2 linked regions of the Oryzias latipes genome follow. The protein of the gene in region 1 binds, or shares a complex with, the protein of each later gene. Links are inferred from orthologs where the notes say so. Each region holds a gene or a part of one and is shown on either strand. Other genes may lie near its edges.

Evidence for each region.
Region 2: smc4 (region 1) and ncaph share a complex: the UniProt entries of both Homo sapiens proteins name them as parts of the condensin complex. The link is inferred for Oryzias latipes from reciprocal best matches to the Homo sapiens genes SMC4 and NCAPH.

The regions. Positions count from the first base shown.
Region 1 is NC_019871.2:13,504,168-13,508,159, reverse strand, and holds the end of smc4 (structural maintenance of chromosomes protein 4), read right to left. Parts: intron 3,777-3,992; coding exon 3,632-3,776; intron 3,436-3,631; coding exon 3,262-3,435; intron 2,719-3,261; coding exon 2,536-2,718; intron 1,649-2,535; coding exon 1,416-1,648; intron 1,327-1,415; coding exon 1,143-1,326; intron 1,042-1,142; coding exon 877-1,041; 3' UTR 768-876; downstream 1-767. UniProt on the Homo sapiens protein: Central component of the condensin complex, a complex required for conversion of interphase chromatin into mitotic-like condense chromosomes.
Region 2 is NC_019867.2:25,810,808-25,815,033, forward strand, and holds the end of ncaph (condensin complex subunit 2), read right to left. Parts: intron 3,574-4,226; coding exon 3,427-3,573; intron 2,726-3,426; coding exon 2,621-2,725; intron 2,483-2,620; coding exon 2,406-2,482; intron 2,154-2,405; coding exon 2,078-2,153; intron 1,017-2,077; coding exon 957-1,016; 3' UTR 697-956; downstream 1-696. UniProt on the Homo sapiens protein: Regulatory subunit of the condensin complex, a complex required for conversion of interphase chromatin into mitotic-like condense chromosomes.

The sequences.
Region 1 (3,992 bases):
GTAGTTTTTTGTTGACATTTGATGACTAAAATCGGTCAAAGCCCCCAGTTAAGAATGTAAAGTACAGAAGAATCTAGAAGCAGCAGTCCATTCATTCCTCATGGTACCCCCTACATTCTCTAATGGTTTTCCCCCTAAATAATTCTTTCATTGTAGTTTGTCGACATTTTTCTCTTCTCAGAAAGCAGTTTAACCCCTGGTGCTGTCTTAGATGACCTCACCCTTACATTGACGTGTTCTCTCTACCATGACAAAGGTGGAAAGATTTCATGTAATCCATGGAAACCAGTGAAGATCACAAATCATTGAAAAAAGGTTCAGAGCACTGTCTAGTGGGTCTAGATGACCCAACTCCCAATGTTAAAGTGCCTAGGATAGCACAAGGGTTATGGATGCACCTCTCGTAGATCAGCCTCCTAACTCTGCTTGTCCTGTGGAGTTTGATCATTCTGTGATCGACTGATCGAGACTGTCCAGGAAACATTTGCGTGTCTTGCATTCTGATTAGTCAAAATTTAAATTTTTTTACACCATTCTAAAAGTCTTTTTTAATCTTTATTCATTACAAACTAAATGGCTAGTTATAGTAAAGGAAAAGCTTTAATTGTATCTGTATTTTAAATAAATATGAATTTCACAATTCTGACAAAACATTTAGAACATCAGATAATCCGTTTCTCTTGAAAGGTGCAGATCATTGGTTTGTTTACTTAAATATTGTCATGCAGATCCTTCTATTCAGTCGACAATATGAAGTCAGCAGATGCTATTGTCTCAAAGGTATAAACACGTCATCAAAAGCTTTATTAGTACAGAGGAAGAATAGCAGCATTTCAATAAAAGAACAGTATAAAACATTTTCATTGGCTTTGAGCTTCAAGCACTGACGGCGTCGTGCTCTCTAAAAGCGATGGTTTTGGGGTTGATGCCCACGCTCTTGGTGGTGTTGTGGGTTTTGTAGATGCCAATGAGGCGATCGGCAATCTCAAACATGTTGTTCCTCAAGGAGATAATGATGAACTGAGCGTTCTTGGTTTGTTCCTAGAGGACAGAAAAAGGACTTCAGGTCACATGACCTAATAAAATCCTAACTCTAAAACATACAAAAGATTTGAAATGACTTGTTTTAGGTCCATACTTACATAAATGTAACAAGCCACGATGGAGACGTTCTTGAAGTCCAGAGCAGCATCGATCTCGTCCATAAAGTAGAGAGGCGTCGGCTTATAGTGATGAAGAGCGAACACGAGAGCCAAAGAGCTGAGGGTCTTTTCTCCTCCTGAAAGGTTGAAGATCTTTTTCCAGCTTTTCTTTGGAGGACGAACACTGGAGGGGAAAAGCAGGAACACCAAAGGTTTCCTCATGTGCAGAACAAGCATCTACAGAGGCGATCAGTGGAGAACTTCAGTCCATACCTGAACATGATGCCTTCAGAGAAGGGATCTAAGCTGTCCACGAGCTCCAGCTCTGCATCGCCACCAAGTGTCAGCATTTGGTAGTTCTCCTTTAACTTGTTGGTGATCATGTTGAAGCCGGTCATGAACTCGTTGAGTCGCCGTTTCCGCAGGTCCTCGTAGCTGCATTTGAAGGTGTCCCTCTCCGCTGTGATCTCGTCCAGCTGGGCCACACGCTGCAGGTACAGCTCCTCCTGCAAACACCACACCAACGCTGCTCATCCTTACATCCCTCCAGCATTTCACTTTAGCTTACAGACGGGGGGAACCGGAAATTCTGGTTTCAGAAATCCACTGAACACCTGCGTCTAAACAAATGAAGGGACAGCGCGCCGTTTAACGCTTCCAAACTCAAAACAAAAAGGACACGCGGTTTCCTACTTTGTTCAATTTGAACCAACTATTCCACAAATCATGGCCTCTACCATGTTTCCAATTGTTTTATCTCCCAATATTAATTTGCGACAATATTTTGTTGGAGAAGAAAGTTATGATTACTATAATGGATGATAGGAAGCTTAAAAAGATTCATGTCTCGCAGCTGTATCATTTGTTTTTCTCTTTAAAGTTAATATATAGTGGTTCACCTTTTACAGTCTTGCAGACTTCAGTGCAATTGTGCATGTTTTTTTTTTAAACTGCACTGTTTTCTGTGTCCTGATTGGCTGTAGATCCTGTCAATCAATCTATGTGCCGTGTCTCTGTGGAATAGTGTGTGCATCTTATCAAATCCACAAATATTTAATCGTGAGCAGATCTGTGTTTTTTTCTACCATGATGGACTTCATTTGAATAACTTTGAAAGTTTAAAGAGATAAATGTATAAAGTCAGTAGTGAGGGAGTTACAGTCTTAAAACATTTAGAGTAATGGTACAAATAAGGAGACGTCACAACACGGATCTTTATTTTGGACTTGGTACTGTTTCTGAAGGGAAACATAGTTGGGTCCTCCTCAGTCAGTTGATAACCATCACCATTTAATATCTGTATAGGCCTGAGCTGAAGTGACCTTTGACCTTCAAAAGAACAAATCATGACTGCGTTCCTGTATTTGTCACATTTCCTGTCATTTGTGTTTACCTTCTTCTTGTACTCTGAGATGGCTCCCAGGTTGGGCTTCAGATGACTGCACTGGATCTCCAACGTGCTCATCTTGTTCACGATGGCGTTGGGATCTGAGATGGCTTTAAGCTCAGCAGCAGCGAGGACGGGGAGTTTCTCATTTGGCTGGCCTTCAATGACATGTAGGGACAACTTGGAAGCCTGTTGGAAAATCAAATTTCCCGTTTTAGGAACATGTCAAGAAGGAAACGGTCCACGTAAAGACAAAGCAGCAGGTGTTTGTGACTGTGGGTGAACTCTTAAGGTCTGACTGAGGCTCACTGTGATCACTGAAAGCTGGCCGCTTGGACAATGACTCGTCAGAATGAAGCTTTCAGCTTTGGAATCAGAACTAATGAAAGCCGTTTCACTGAAGCAACCTCTCCTGGAGGCTGTGGATGCAGAAATGGCCGACCCCAGCGTGCTGCTTCATTTGAAGCAGTTCAAAGTCAGTGAAAGCCCATAGATGTGATGCTGGCAGCTTTTCTGGAGCAAAACCAAATCTCTAAAAAAGTCTGACTTTCTCACAGCCTCACAGGCCAAAACAATCAAAACTAACTAAGGTCATTATCCTGAAAAGTGAAAGTGCATAAACACGGATTGCTGTGTGCTTCCATAAGACAAAAAAAGCTAAATATTTGGGACTTGCTGCTTATATCTTTAGATTCCAAATGAGTACCTTTCTAAGTGCGTCCCGTCACTCACCTCGTCCTGCCAGTGCTTGATCTTGCCGTTGTGTTTGGTTATGGTGGCGTCAATCTGCTCGATAGAGAGCCTCACATTGAGGGACTCCTCCTGCAGTGCGTGCTCCTGCTGCTGCAGGATCTTTATTTCCTTTGACACCTTCTGATACTGCTCCTGTACCTCAGGTAGTGCAGCCTATGTAAAGATACAGTTAGATAATGTGTGAATAAAGAGAAACACTGAATAAACATTTGTATTGCCCCCCACATCAGGTAAAGATTTAGTCCCAACTAACAAGAAATCCCAAATATCTCAATAAAAAACATGGGAATGTCTTCAAGAAGACAGAAGCATAAAAAAATCCTGGATAAAGGGAATGATCTGCACTGACCTCAGCCTCCTGGCACGCTTTCATGATCTCCCCAGCCTCATCTTCCACTTTCTTCAGTTGCTCAGTGAGGTCCGTCATCAACTTCTCATTCTCCTCCAGCTCGCTCTGCAAATGAGCCACACTCTCCTCACACTTTTTCAGGTTGCTATGAAGAAAACACAACGAGAAACACTTCAGGAAGCGGAAACCAGGGGATGTGTTCAGGCTCAGCACGCTTTAGGAAGAACTTCAAAGTGAAGAGTAGGCTTCAGCTTCAGCGTGCATTAACACACAACCAGCGTATTCCACACTTCACTTTCACTCATTTTATCGAGTTAGACAAAAGAAAAGTACCACACTAGAAATTGAAACACAAAGAGAC
Region 2 (4,226 bases), on another chromosome or scaffold:
TTTCCATCACATGTTGGATCTGAGATAGGAGTCATGAATGTTAACTCTTAACTCACCCCTTTCAGATCTTTTTTTTTTTTTTTGCTCTGGTATTTATTTTTGTTATTCAAGTGTTTTATGTCGCACATTAGCACCGCAGCAAATTCCAATTCTGTGAAAATGCCCTGCTCACTGGCAATAAATACTCCTTGAATCCTTTGAAGTAATCTTTTGTGTTTTTAAACAGAAAGTCTGAAGAGAGGTATGATGGGAAAACCACTTTTAAACAGTATATTTAACAAAACAAACAAAACTAATTACTTATGTGTTATATATTAATTGCATTACTATAAACATTTTGAGACACATTACACAATTTAGTGATAATCGGACAAAAGCACATTTCTACCATTATATTAGGATTAAATTAGGAAACCTAAAGTAAAAACACTGTTTATATCAAAGTTCCTGTGTGCAAGATTAAAAACTTCTACGCCAAGGACTGGAATGTGATTAGTCCTCTGCTCTTTCTTGTTCTGTATCTCCTTAATGAAAGGACGTCATGTCGTCTCACCCAGATGGAAGCACAGACCCAGACAAACCGGCTTAACCTCTACGGGAAGGCGACAGCAAAGTTGCAAACTCACACTATAAACAGGTTTAATGTGCCAGGATTTCACACGTTCTGCCCAAATTTAAGTCACAAACTCAACCACATTTATGGGAAAAAAAAACATTTTATTTCTTTTGACAATATATATCTTTTGAGCAGTGGTTGAAAAGTTCTTTTATCTACACAACAGATAATCATGAAATAGTACAGAGTTAAAAAAAAGGTCGTCTTGTCATTATGAGGGAAAAAAGGGCAGATTTAAAACTTAAGCACAAAGTGAATAAAACCTGACATTTTAAATAGAAAAAGCATAAATTCAAAGAAAGAAGAGGACAGAATTTAAAAAAATCTCCTGGTTTTCTCCTTAGCGGCCTTGTCTGATGATAATGTCTGACATGTCATCAACTTTGACCAGCTCCAAATTCTGTAAAACAGACAATTCAAAACTGTTAAAAGGTGTTAAAGCTTCAGACGTTTGTCTACAGAAAATAACTTGGGTTATGTTGTTATAACCTTTTATAAAAGTAGAATTCCTAAAGCTGAAAGTTGCTCTTGATAATAAATTAATGTCAAATATAATGTTAAATTAAAGTCATTTTAAAGACAAACAGGATTCATTTAAAAGGCTCTTAAGTTGAAACATTTTAAAGTCGAGTAGGAGTAATGACACGTCTGTCACTATCTTTATAAGCAAAGTGATCCCACAAACTGATAACACTGAGTGAGTGACCGAAGAGTGCACATGTTTATCTTGAGCTGTTTCAAATGTTCTTTTATTTTCATGGTTTTATGTTTGTGTGTGTATCAATGCCTCTGGGTCACGTCTCTCTCTAAAAATGTTTTATCTCAAGGGACTTCCTGGTAAAATAAAGGTTAAATAAAAAGAAACCAAACTGATAAGATATTTTCAGAACCTCAAATACAGTACAACTCATTTACTTCCATTTGATTTTAAATGAATTAACTCATGAACCAATATTATTTTGGTTTTTTTGACAACCAAAAATAGAGTCGGGTCGTCAGTCCTGCTGTTCATTGGTAAATGATAAACACTTTTTTTCCCATTAATCTAGGAACTGATTACATGATGACATCAGTATATGTAATAGATATACGTTACAGATGTGCGTGTCAATTAGCCATTTCAAACTTTCACACACTGTCAAAAGACGGAAAAAACTAGATCACATGCTAAGCAACTAGAAATTATGTTCCCCTTTTAAGTAAAAAAACAACACAGAAAAGTGTGAAACACTTCTTTTAGCTCCATCATATGCTTAATATTTGTTTATTTTTGGTGGGATTATGTAAATTTGCTTCTTCCCACTTCATTTCAAGCTATTCATCAAACTCTATCTGACAATCATTATATTGAATTGATTGTACTGTACATAAAAATGCAAGTTTGTCTATTTATGATTAGGAGTTATTGTAATGCCAAGAGGGTTGCAATGTTTTCTTTTATTTTCTAATAAATAGTTGCACCTTTTCATTTGCCAGATGAAGCAGAGCCACAAAGGCCAGCGGCACCGACAGGTTCTGAGCCATAACGTTCGGCAACCTAAGGGGTACAAGAAGGAGGGGGGAGAAGGAGGAGGAGCACATTTCAAATCAAACTCTTCAAGGTTCTGTCAGCATCAGTCTATAAAGGAAGATAATGTCTCACAAGAATACGAAAAAAAAAAGTGTTGGAGGAGCCAAAACTTTTTGGTAAAACCCACGCATGGATTCCAAACCAGCAATGTTAGTAGAATGTGAGGCTTTCTAAAGCTTTTGATGATTGTTGCTATAAGTGCCAGAGTTGTGTTGGTACCTTTGAAGCAGCATCTTTGTGGTCTGACTGAAGGCTTTCTCCCCACACACATCCTGAGTCTCAACAGTCTCCTTCACCTGCAGAAAGACAAAAACCAGATGAACACAGCTGCCCTCTCTAGACCGTCCTCAAGCACCAACGCCAGACACCTAAACATTCATCAACATGATACAATACAGACAAAAAAGAAAGAAACAAAGTAAAAGCACCTGTACCTTTTCTTCTGGACTATCTGTTAAAAGAGTCCACATGCTGTTCTTAAGCTTCTTCATATCCATTTTCTTTGCTGTCTTGGCATAATTGATTTCAATTTTGTTGACCTGCAAACACAAGCAGTAGAGTAAAAATCAATTCCATACAAAGTTCAGCCTTTTTGGAAAAGGCCTCAATCATGCTTTTTAAGCATTTCTGAGTGAACTATATCCATATATGTAATAATAAATTACATTTTGGCACACTACAGAACAAATTTTGTATTAAATATTTGTTATTTTCATCAGTTCTTTTTCGCTTGGGTGCCGCTCACTTCATGACATCAACCTAGAGTCGGCCTCGGCTGCATCTCGCCAATAAAAACAAACAACATTTGAACTATTGCAAAGATACATGTGCTTATAAAAGGAAAGCGCTTTTGATGATCACCGCTCGGTTTGTGGAGAAAGTGGGTGTGCGTGTTAGCCTGGGGGTGGCGCTGGCAGGGTAGACTTTTCCTGGAAGGGGCTGTTCCTCACTTATCTACGCCACAATGAACCCGCTTATTTTCACGGGTTGGGAGGGGCTGGTGCTCAGAAATGCGTGAATGGATCCGAATACCGCTTTGGGGTTGTTTATAGTGAGGAATTAACATGATAATACACTTAAAAGCTCAAAAGGTTGATTTTACATGATGCAGGCCCTTTCATGATCGAGATTCACAGGCTTCAGGTTTACTGCCAGGTAAATGAATACGTGTCAAACAAACAAAACAAACTAAATCCATTATGTGTTCTTGAAAAAGAAAAAAAAACCCTGCATGACTCACTCTGTGAGGCTCAGGTACCAGTTCATCCTCCCCGTAGGTGGACACACCCTCCAGGTCTTGTGAGGGTGGAGCTTCACTACCACCTGACGGCTGGATGTCATCGGAACCAGTAAACCCCTCAACATCGTCGTCATCACTGTCACCCCCCTGAAGCAGAGGACAGACCAGGAGATGACAGAAGGAAACGCAAAGATAAAAGCTTTGTTTGCTTTACTGTTTTATCAAAAATGTTCCCCATAAATGGCTTTAGTGAGTAAGGTTGGCACGCAGTAACTGAACGGAACAAAGTCATGTCTGGTCAGCTCTCCCACTCTTGGTGATGTGGCAGCAGTTTCGTAACCCCAGCAGTTTGAGGTGATGAAGTTGCTTTAAACTGCAGCATGTTGGTGTTTTAGCATGACACAGCAGATTAGTGCTAGCTGATGTCAGTCATGAAGCTGATGGCCTGGACTGCCCATTTACACACATTAACGAACAAACTTTGACTTTTGTATAGACCTATGTTACATAAGTAAAGGATCATGGCCGACAAAGTAAGCATTATCAGAAATTAACGCATGGCATAAACCATGGTCATATTCAATCCGCTTTTAGTATGTTTTTCTTTTCATTTGTTCGGTTTAGATCGCTTTTTTTATGCGGTGTGGCAGAAGAAAGTGCTATATATTCTGATCATCACTATGGATTAAATAAAGCATCAGTTCAGAGAGAAAGTTCACCTCTTACCACTCGTTTTTGTCCAGATAATGAAGCTAAAGTTTATTTTTAAAAAAGTCAACAAAGTGATACAAAGGGATTTC